Linked DNA regions of Canis lupus familiaris. The protein of the gene in region 1 interacts with the protein of each later gene in a pairwise test. Links are inferred from orthologs where the notes say so. Each region holds a gene or a part of one and is shown on either strand. Other genes may lie near its edges. The genes, in order: HSF2, WDR5 and NUP62.

The links.
Region 2: the proteins of HSF2 (region 1) and WDR5 interact in binary tests that used the Homo sapiens proteins (3 or more experiments, as listed by UniProt). The two-hybrid records come from large-scale screens. The link is inferred for Canis lupus familiaris from reciprocal best matches to the Homo sapiens genes HSF2 and WDR5.
Region 3: the proteins of HSF2 (region 1) and NUP62 interact in binary tests that used the Homo sapiens proteins (3 or more experiments, as listed by UniProt). The link is inferred for Canis lupus familiaris from reciprocal best matches to the Homo sapiens genes HSF2 and NUP62.

What each region holds. Positions count from the first base shown.
Region 1 is NC_049222.1:62,382,250-62,385,132, forward strand, and holds the end of HSF2 (heat shock factor protein 2), read left to right. Parts: intron 1-805; coding exon 806-890; intron 891-1,328; coding exon 1,329-1,621; 3' UTR 1,622-2,334; downstream 2,335-2,883. UniProt on the Homo sapiens protein: DNA-binding protein that specifically binds heat shock promoter elements (HSE) and activates transcription. In higher eukaryotes, HSF is unable to bind to the HSE unless the cells are heat shocked.
Region 2 is NC_049230.1:50,410,383-50,414,030, forward strand, and holds part of WDR5 (WD repeat-containing protein 5), read left to right. Parts: coding exon 1-39; intron 40-688; coding exon 689-797; intron 798-1,091; coding exon 1,092-1,165; intron 1,166-1,555; coding exon 1,556-1,645; intron 1,646-1,841; coding exon 1,842-1,931; intron 1,932-2,127; coding exon 2,128-2,211; intron 2,212-3,648.
Region 3 is NC_049222.1:107,310,904-107,315,228, forward strand, and holds the start of NUP62 (nuclear pore glycoprotein p62), read left to right. Parts: upstream 1-1,389; 5' UTR 1,390-1,522; exon of another isoform or gene 1,523-1,740; intron 1,741-4,325. UniProt on the Homo sapiens protein: Essential component of the nuclear pore complex. The N-terminal is probably involved in nucleocytoplasmic transport.

The DNA.
Region 1 (2,883 bases):
GATTTTATGATGAATATGAGGTAATCACAGGATATAGTATGTTTTTTACACCATTTAAACTTAACCAGCAAGCAACTGTCTGGAACTTACGGCTATTTAGGGAAAATTATGAACCTCTGCACCTCAGTTTTGAACATTATTGAAAAGAGCATTGAAGAACTAAACAAAATTAAAGGTTTAATCCCCTTTGCAATCAGATGTGAGGAGAGAAGACAATGGTTCAAAGAAGCAATTTAAATGACAGAAAAGAACTGAAAGAGTCTCAAAGGAAATGAAGAAACTTCACCTCAACTTTGAGGCTTCCAAATATAGAGATAATAGTTTTAAGGATATCACCATGTAATCCTGACCCACTCTAAAAATGTTCACTATGCTAAATATTCTGTTTGTGAATGAAGAGAAATAAGTAATATACATTTTTAATCAAAGCTGTTTAAGATGAGTTTAATTGTTTAAAGAATCATCTGTTAGTTTGAAACCAGCCATCTTTGATTCATTTCCATCTTTTACCTGTGACGGTGCGGTCTGTTCTTTTGAAATGCCCCCTCTTTTCATACTTAACTGTCATCCTAGTTCAGGTTCTTTATTTCATCCGCTTGATGACAGCAGGAGTTTTCTTAACCAGTCTTACCTATTCAAATCTGTTTCTCTTTCTAGTTCATCCTTCCTGGTGCTTTCCCCCTTCACCTGTATTTCAAATAACACATCAGTGCTCACATACTGTATCAGTTTTTTATTTTTTGCCATTATTAGGAATATATAAAATATGAAACAAGAATTTTTTATATTATTTTTTCTCTTTTAGTCTGAGAATAAAGGATTAGAAACTACCAAGAACAATGTAGTTCAGCCAGTTTCAGAAGAGGGAAGAAAATCTAAACCCAAAACAGGTAGGTATAAATGTAGTATTAGTTTTTACAGATTTTTAAAATTAAAGAGTCCTACATAGAAAGTAATGTGAGCCAAGGAAAGTCTTGCCATACTTAACGATTGAACACAGAATGTACTGTTCTCAGTTCTGTGCATAACGTATCAAGGTTTCAGCTTATAGAGAAAATTAAATTGGTGAGGTACTAGTTTAAGTCCTTTTTAAAAAAATTAACTTTAGGAGAACTTAAAGAACTCTATCTTAATAGTTGGAATAACAAGACTTAACTTTTCTGACTAGTACATTTTAAAATTTACTGACACCAAAGTATCATATTTCTTGTTTGGGTGTATAAGGGTACTGATTGCATATATGCACAGCTGTTTCCATTTTTTCCACCTTCAGCTTGAACTCTGTATAAGCTGGTGATAAAAGAGCATTTTTCTAATCTTTATTATAGATAAGCAGCTTATCCAGTACACTGCCTTTCCACTTCTTGCATTCCTCGATGGGAACCCTGCTTCTACTGTTGAACAGGGAAGTACAGCATCATCAGAAGTTATGTCCTCTGTAGATAAACCCATAGAAGTTGATGAGCTTCTGGATAGCAGCCTAGATCCAGAGCCAACCCAAAGTAAGCTTGTTCGCCTGGAGCCATTGACTGAAGCCGAAGCTAGTGAAGCCACACTGTTTTATTTATGTGAACTTGCTCCTGCACCTCTGGATAGTGATATGCCACTTTTAGATAGTTAAATCCCCAAGAAGTGGACTCTACATGTATATATTCATCAAAATGATGAACTATTTATTTTAAAGTATCATTTGGTACTTTTTTTTGTAAATTGCTTTGTTTTGTTTAATCAGATACTGTGGAATCAAAAGCACCTTTTGCTTTTCTTACACACTCTTGCAAAGCTTTCAGATGTTACTCAGCTACGTAGGTACATAAGACTTAATGCACATTGTTGGCATATCTTTAAGTTGGATTCAAATGGCCATTTTTCTCCAGTTGTAGTAACTTGGATTTCTTTTTTACATATATGCCCATTAACCCCAGTTAAACTTTTGTTTGTTTTACTTGTTTGATGCTGTCTGTTTGCATTGAGTGTTAAGTCACTAGAACTAATGGTAGAACTCTTAAAGCTTTATCTGTTCCAGTTACTTTTATTAAATATTTTTCACTTGGCTTATTTTTAAAACTGGGAACATAAAGTGCCTGTATCTTGTAAAACTTCATTTGTCTCTCTTGTTCAGAGAAGTTCATTCATGTTCAACAGGAAAGGCAAAGTATACATGAGTGCTTGCTGTCAGATATGGCTCCAGCTCCACATACGTAGAAAGAAGGGGATGGGATGGCATCAACACCATCCATCTCGTTGGACTAGTTTTAAGTAAAAGTTTTCTGATTTGTTTGTGTTTTTTTGAACCATACTATTTAGTAAAATAAATATAATGAATGTTGCGTACTAGTGTCTGTTATGTGTCTTCTTTAGAGGTGACACCCACATAATTTTTTTTTCCTTTTTATAGGAAGTAGGTAGGCTTAAATTGTAAACTGTCTGTTGTCCATTGAGTCATACCAAGAAATTTGTGCCCCATCTCAAGAGATAGACTGTGTGTATTACAACAAGAAGGAATATAAGGTCTCTAAACTTAATGTGTTTTAAAGTTCTGTGTTAAAAGTTATACTCGCTTGCTTTCTATATTTCTAATAAAGAACCAAGAGAAGTATGCCTCTCATTGTCCCAAATGAGGTAAGAACATTATCACTGGATGCCACCCAAAGGCCTGTGATTTTTGCCCCTAGAGAGACAAACAGTTAAGTCACTTTCTCCTTTTGGACCAGTTGTTCAAGAGGCTTACAGAGGCTTAATGCAAGGCGGGCACCTCTTTTATCAAGTTGAATTCCACCTTCAGGCACAAGGGTGGAAGCAGTGCAATTTATATTTGAATACAAATTAAAATAGGGCCTTCCTCTTGGCCATATTCCGTCTCTTAATATCTTGGAATTTCTC
Region 2 (3,648 bases), on another chromosome or scaffold:
GCACAGCCCACCCCTTCCTCCTCGGCTACGCAGAGCAAGGCATGTCCCTGAGGGCTTGAGGGGAACTGCCAGGGGCGCCTAGGCCGAGTACTCTTCAGAGATGCTTCTTCCAAGTCTGTTCTCCCTCTTCAGTTAGACACTGTGTTTTTATTTATGGGCCACAGACCTAATCAGTGCTTGTTTACCGTGCTGAGGATCCCCAGACCTGTCCCCCGGAGAAGGGGCTTTATCACAACATAGATCCTTGTTCCTGATCGTAAGATCTCTGCAGCACCCAGAAAGCCTCTCATACAGCATCCCCCTGGTCCACAGTTCTGGTGGCCAGGCAGGTTTGCAAACCCCTTTGCTGGACACCAGGCGGCACATACAGGCCTTTGAGCAAGGCTACAGCCTTCAGGTTTGCTTTGAGGGAGGCTGTGCTTGCCGGACTTGGTGATGCGTGTCGGACGTTGGGGTGGGGTCAGGCCTTGAGGGGCCTCTGTGTTGAGCTGTCCTGGAAGAGCTGGGCACGAAGGTGGGGGCTGCAGGAGAAGCAGGGCTGCCGAGGGGAAATAGCCCAGATTTAAACACGACCAGTTGGAAAGGACTTCCAGAGAGTTCTAGCAGGATTTGGAACTTAGAAGGTGGTTCTGAGTTTGAAGCAAGGTGGTGGTTAATGGTTTGATGACTAGTATTCTCTCTTCAACAGCCTACCCCTGTTAAACCAAACTACGCTCTAAAATTCACCCTGGCTGGCCACACAAAAGCCGTGTCCTCCGTGAAATTCAGCCCGAATGGAGAGTGGCTGGCAAGTTCATGTACGTATCACCAGGGCCTCCGCTCCTGTCAAAGGTAGTCTGTGCTGCCACCAGAAGCCCGGAGCAGGGGGAGGGCTTGCTTTCTGATGCTGCCACTGGGGTGTCGCAGGGGCTGGAGCCCTTTACGTAACACTCTGAGATGATGTGCTCAGGGGAGAGGGGAAGGGTACTCCGGTGCCGGCTACTTCTTTCCATGGGATTTGCACTGTTTCCAGGGCTCCTGTTGTGGGCAGCCCGGATTTTGCCCTTGGGGTGACTGTACCATCACAGTTATTTTGTCTTTCTTTTTTTCAGCTGCTGATAAGCTCATTAAAATTTGGGGAGCATATGACGGAAAGTTTGAGAAAACCATATCTGGTCACAAGCTGGTAGGTTCATCCCTGCACGTGGAGGTTGCCCACTGGCCGCCTTAGCCCCACTGGTGGGTGGGGCCCATCCCCAGAGCTCAGCAGGTTAAGGTCTAAGCTTTCCCCCGGAGTTTTTTGGATAGTTCTTTGCTTTTTGTCTTTTTTTTTTTTTTTTCCTTTTGTCTTTTAAGCAAGTACTTCTGACCTTCCCAGACAAGTTTCTGCCTGACTGCAAGAGAACACACTCTCCTTTGGGGACTGTGCGGTGTTTCGTCTGTGTGGTCAGCAGTAGCTAGAGGGTTTGGGTAGTGGAGTGAGGTGCTTATTTATCTTTGGATGGATGTTCTGACCTTTGCTGGTTAACTGTATTTTGTCCTGTCAAGGCGGTGACCCTGTGTCTTTGCTCCCCAGGGGATATCAGATGTGGCCTGGTCATCAGATTCCAACCTCCTCGTTTCTGCTTCAGATGATAAAACCCTAAAGATCTGGGATGTGAGCTCGGTGAGCTGCTCTGCCCAACCCCCGCCCCGGCAGAGCTTGTGTGCGTGGACAAGGGGCAGGGCGGGAGTCCGAGGGGGGTCTGGGGACCCTGGGTCATGGGGTGGCCCTGCTCTGTGGGGTATGTGCCATTGGGCCGCTGTGGGCTCAGCTTTGAAATAACCACTAGGACTAACAGTCTGACGATACTTGGTTTTAGGGAAAGTGTCTGAAAACCCTGAAGGGGCACAGTAACTACGTCTTCTGCTGTAACTTCAATCCCCAATCCAACCTCATTGTCTCGGGCTCTGTAAGTCTAACCCCCCCTTCCCCTGGGGTGTTGTAGGGGTGTGGGGGTGTGGTACTTTGTAGCCAGAGACTTAGGAGTTGAGCCTGAGTCTTCTCTGCTGGGGGATGGGGGCCGTGGTGGCAGGCCTTGGGTTCCAGAAGACCTGTCCTCTCCCACCTCCCTGTGGAGTGGCCTTAACCTCTTCCTTTGTCTTCAGTTTGACGAAAGCGTGAGGATATGGGACGTGAAAACAGGGAAGTGCCTCAAGACTTTGCCTGCACACTCGGACCCGGTCTCAGCTGTAAGTCCCGCTGAGCTCTGGACACCACATGGCAAGACAGGGTGATGGCCAGAGAGGGGGCACTGGGGACCCCGAGAGAGTTCTCCCTATCCTGGGCCCGTGAAAGGAGAGGCAGGCGAGGGGTTTGGTCCCTGAACCAAATCCTGTGGGACAGGTAGGGCAGCCAGGCCTGGAAGAGGGGCTGTGTGTTGGGAAGTGTGGCCACAGAGAAGTGAATTTGGAGTGGAGTTGGCTTTGATCCTGGGGTGGTGGTGGAATGAGCTGGGGTGAGCTAGCCGAGGGTAAGGGCTGGGGTGGGGGGGGGGTTGGAGCCCCACGAGCACCCTGTGTGTGCTGTGTCCTGCCTTGTGCACACGCTAGCAGTGTGCAAGATGAGGTACGTAGTTGAAGTATCTGCTGTAATACAAACCCTCCATTTGAAAGTGGCCGAGAGATTTTTTTCTTTGTCAGCAGAGCCTAGACTTGTTTCTTAGCCAAGTTTGCCTTTTTTTGGAAAGGGGAAGGAATCGTGTAAACATTGTGCTTATTTTTACTGAGCAGATGGTCCTTTTCACTTTCTGAAATCGTGTAGGTGAGTGATTTTAAGTATTTTCAGGCAATAAAGGGCTTTTTTGCCCAGCTGAGACCATTCGCAGAGCCCAGATACATGGAGGACATGTATTACGTGTTGGTCGCAGTGGACTGAGGGGCCCTCGCTGCCCAGAGTCCCGGCCAGTGTGGATGGGGCTCATCCTTGGGGGCCCCGAGGAAGGCAGTGTGCTGTGGAGAGGGGGCCTGGCCCACCTGGCGCTCTGCCCTCTGCCGTGGACCCCCAGTCCCAGGAGAGCTGACTTTGAGATGGGCATGGTGGTGAATGTGGGCAGGACCCAGGATGCAAGCTGAGTGAAGGCCAGGAGTCCCAGCAGTGCGAGGTGGTGCGGGGGCTGTGGGTGGGACCCTCAGCCTAAGTGGTAGGGTTTATAGAGTCTTTGTTTTCTGTGGAAGTGAAACGTACTCATTTTTTAAAAAAGACAAACGGATGCAGTGAAGAGAAAGTCACTCTCCTGAGCCCTCCAGGACCCCTGCTGGTAGCCCCCCCCCCCCCCCCCCCCCCGCACGCCCTGGGTATTCTGATATTTTAAATATGTGCTATCTCCCACCATCTGTCCTGTAAGTGGTGGGGGTGACCACAGCTATTGTGCGTCCCTGTGGGAGGGTTTCTCGGGCATCTGTGGTGTCCATAGACCCCCATGGGCAGTGGGCACTCTGTGCTGGGGCCTTAGCAGGTGCTTGTTCGTAGCTTGCATTTCTCATGGAGGAGTGCGATGAGCATCTTCGTTGGGCCACTTTACCCACCATGTGTTTCTGCGGTGAGCTTTAGGAGGTCATCATCGTGTGAAAGAGGTTCACTTAGTTTCCCAAGTAGATCCATCTGGGAGCGAGAAGCCCCTGGCACCA
Region 3 (4,325 bases), about 45 Mb from region 1:
CTGTTCCTTCCTATACAAAAACCTAATGGTCTCCCAGGGGAATTTCCTTAAGCCCTTCCCTCCCACCTCACAAAATTACACTTCATTAAAAAAAAAAAAAATCAGGGCAGCCCGGGTGGCTCAGCGGTTTAGCGCCGCCTTCAGCCCAGGGCCTGATCCTGGAGACTCGGGATCAAGTCCCACGTCGGGCTCCCTGCATGGGGCCTGCTTCTCCTTCTGCCTGTGTCTCTGCCTCTCTCTCTCTCCTCTCTGTGTATTCTTATGAATAAATAAATAAAATCTTTTAAAAAAAATTTCAATCCCAGGAGAATTTTCTTCCAGCCACACCCCTTCCTCTAAAGTATTTCCTTTAGGCTCCATCCCATCTAAACACTCGGCTCAAAAATCAGCTCCCAGGGATCCCTGGGTGGCGCAGCGGTTTAGCGCCTGCCTTTGGCCCAGGGCGCGATCCTGGAGACCCGGGATCGAATCCCACGTCGGGCTCCTGGTGCATGGAGCCTGCTTCTCCCTCTGCCTGTGTTTCTGCCTCTCTCTGTGTGACTATCATAAATAAAAATTAAAAAAAAAAAAATCAGCTCCCAGGGGAATTCCCCCAGCCCTGCCCCTCCAAACCGTGGTCTACTAAGTCCCACGGCTTCTTTTTAGCTTCGCGGTGACCGCCCCAGTCCCTTCCCGTCCAATTACCTTAGCCCCCCACTTCATTCCCGGGGATACCCCAGAGGCCCCGCCTTCTCTCCGTTGAAACCCCACCCCAGGTAAATTTGCTTAACCACGCCCCTTCTCACGATAGACCCCCGCCCACCCGTCGCAGCCGCTGATCCTAGCTCCACCCCCCTCCTTACAGGTGGCCTCTAAGCCTCGCCTTCCGCCCTGTCAATCTGAGTCAGCCCCACCCAACCCCGCCCCAGCAGGTGCCCGAATGAAACATAAATTGTGTTGTGCGCATGAGCAAGGTGGAGCTCGGAGACGGGAGCCGGCCGGCGGAGCCACACGCCTCTCTCGCAGGGCTAAAGCGCATGCTCTGCCACTGATCCAATTGTTCTCTCAGGCCTGCGGGGTTGGGGAGTCAGTGCGCATGTGCAGCTGCTTACTGCCCGCCCTTCACTCAAAAAATACGGAGTCTGGTGGGCTTGTGCACGTGAGCAACCGCTCGCGGACAGACTCATTCGGGGAGCGGGGGGCGACCCCCGCTCGGGGCTAGTGCGCAGGCGCACTGCGTGCAGGCCATCTTTAAACTCCAGCATTCTAGGGAAGAACGTACCCTTCCCCCACTGGACCGAATGCGCATGCTCGGCCGCGTGCCAACGACGCGTTTCCCTCTTCTGCGCCTGCGCGACCGTGATTCCTCACTCTCGTCTCCCCACCCCCCAGGCCTGGTCGTGAAGGCCGCGAGCTTCGAAAGGGCGGGAAAGGCGGTTGGAGAGGGAGGGGCGAGCGGTTACTCACTCCATGGCTACGGAAAGGAGAGGCGGCGGCAGCCTCAGCTGAAGAAAAGAAGGCGGTAGAGAAGAGCGCAAGCGCGGTGAGCGCGGAAACGGGCCGGGACACGGAGGGGTCGCGGCTACAGAGCCATAGCCGGGGTTGGGCGGGCGGAGATGGCGTCTCGGTAGCCTGAGAGGAGATTGTGATCTGTGGATGGGGAATGAGGCGGCCCCGGGGAGTGGGGACAGATATACAGGGGATGGCGCAGCACGGCCTCCCCGGATCCATCCGCGCCCCGCCCCGCCAGGCCCCAACCGGGAGGCGGGCCTGGCCTCTCCTCTCGGGAATCCTGGAATCCACTCCCCTCCTCCTCCCGACGCGGAGTTAGGCCTTTTCCTTCCTCTGACCCGGGGACCAGCTCCGTCTTCCTACCCCAGGGGTTCCGGCCCCCGTCCTCCTTCCAACTCTGGGGTCCTGTTCTCTGTCTCTCTGACTCAGGTCCCCTCCCCCCCAATTCTAGGGATTCGATCCCTCGCCTTCTCTGAGACCTGCCCTAGTTCACTTTTGGTTTCTTTTGCCCTAGTTCTCGAATTTCCGGCCAGCCACATGCTGGACTCCTATCCCCAAACTGCCGCCCCACGCTAAGAACCCTTTTTGTGGGTTAGACTCTTGTCTGAGTCACAATGAGACCGCGCGCGCCGTTCAAATCTCAGACCTGCGATGGTGGCCAAATAATCAAGTTCTCTAGTCTCGTAGATCGAGAACTGCCTGTAAAATGAAGAAAATAATCAACTCTGCCTGATGAGAATCAAGTCGATGCCTGTGAAACCCAGAGCCCGGCTCTTAATTGCCTATTTAATGTATCTTATTTTTAATAGGAACTCTGGGGTTGAGTCTCAACCATACCTCCTGCCCTGGCAAGATCCCCAGACATTTGACCATACAATAGCTGCTAGTAGGTCATTCTTGTGTCTTCTTCACTTCTTCAAGGTGTCAGTAATTGCCAGACATCCCCACCTTTCCCTGTTCCAGATGATGGACGCTCACCCGCAACACCAGCACAGTTGCAGAGAAGCAGGCATCATCACCCTGACTGTAGCTTTTCTCCATCCTCTGCCCACCTCCCATCAGCCCTTATCCTTAGCCCTCCTTTCAGGCCAGTTGGTTCTGCTTCAGCTGCCCCCCACTGGATCAGTTTACCAACCCTGCCCCAAAATAGGGAGATCTGCACTGCCCTTTGCTAAAAGAGAGGGGGCTTCCTGGCCATTCCCTCCTATGCACTAGACCCTCCACTGGCCCAAGTGGGTATGGGTCTTTACTTCCCACCTTGCATCTGTCCACAGCAGGACACCTAGAGTTCAACTTAACATCACGGGTGGTGGTTCTGAGGTCCAGAGAAGGTGGGGGAACTCTGATCTTGAGACTTATTTGGGAATGAAGATAGCAGGCTTCAGTTGCATGCAGGAAGTCCTTCTTGGGATCTGACCACTTTCACTTAGAGCACTTACTGTGTACTGTGCCAGTATTTGAAGATTTGACCTATAGGGGCTAGGTTATTACCTAGGCAGCATGAGTAGCAGTTAAGTGCAGACTCTGGCGCCCAGTTTTGGGTTCAGACCTTGTCTCTACTCCACTTATTAGCTTACTGTCAATTTCTTTTTTTCCCTGTGCCTCGGTTTCCACTACGTTCAAATCTCAGACCTGTGATGGTGGCTACATTATTTTATCGCTACGTTTCTATTAACTCCATATAGAAACTTAGCGATACATGTGGCAGCTAACAGTGCTTACTTCTGGGGTGCCTGGCTGGCTCAGGCGTGTGACTCTTGATCTTCAGGTTGTGAGTTTGAGCCCCACATCAGAAGTAGAGTTTACTTAAAGAAATAGTGCCAGGCAGCCTGGGTGGCTCAGCGGTTTAGCGCCACCTTCAGCTCAGGGCCTGCCTGTTCCTGGAGACCTGGGATCGAGTCCCACATTGGGCTCCCAGCATATGGAGCCTGCTTCTCCCTCTGCGTGTGTCTCTGCCTTTCCCGGTGTCTCTCATGAATGGATAAATAAAATCTTAAATAATAATAATAATAATAATAAGTAGTGCCTACTTAGTACTGTCACAAGGATTCAATGAGTTAATTCATAATTCAGGTCAAGCATTTAGATTAGTCCTCCTTTCTGCCCCCCCAAATCTTAAGTCTTCTAAAAACATCTAGTATGTACACATGGACTAGGCAATTTAAGTAAATTTTTATTTTAGAATAATTTTATTTTTGGGCAGCTCCAGTGCCCCAGCGGTTTAGCACTGCCTTCAGCCCGAGGTGTGATCCTGGAGACCCAGGATCGAGACCCACGTCGGGCTTCCTGCATGGAGCCTGCTTCTCCCTCTGCCTGTGTCTCTTCCTCTGTGTGTGTGTGTGTTGGTCATGAATAAATAAATTAAAAATCTTTAAAAAAAATTTTTTTTTATTTTTACAGAAAAGTTACAAACATAGTGCGGAGAGTTTCCATATACCCCACATCCATTTTCCCTGTTGTTGACCTCTTTAACATTTCTGTGATATATTTGTCACAACTAAAGAACCCACGTCGGTATGGGATTTTAAAGTGCACACCTCATTTTGATATTCTGATTTCACTAGTTGTTTTTGTTTTTGTAGATATTTACTTTAGAGAGCACAGGCAGGGGGAACAGCAGAGGGAGAAGCAGGCTCCCCACTGAGCAAGGAGCCCTACCCAGGGCTTGATTCCAGGACCTTGGGATCATGACCTGAGCAGAAGGCAGATGCTTAACCAACTGAGCCACCCAGGCACCCCTCGCTAGTTGTTCTTAATGCTGTTTTTTTGTTCCAGGATGCCATATCACATTTAATCATCGTGTCTCCTTAGCCTCCTCTGGTCTGCAGCAGTTT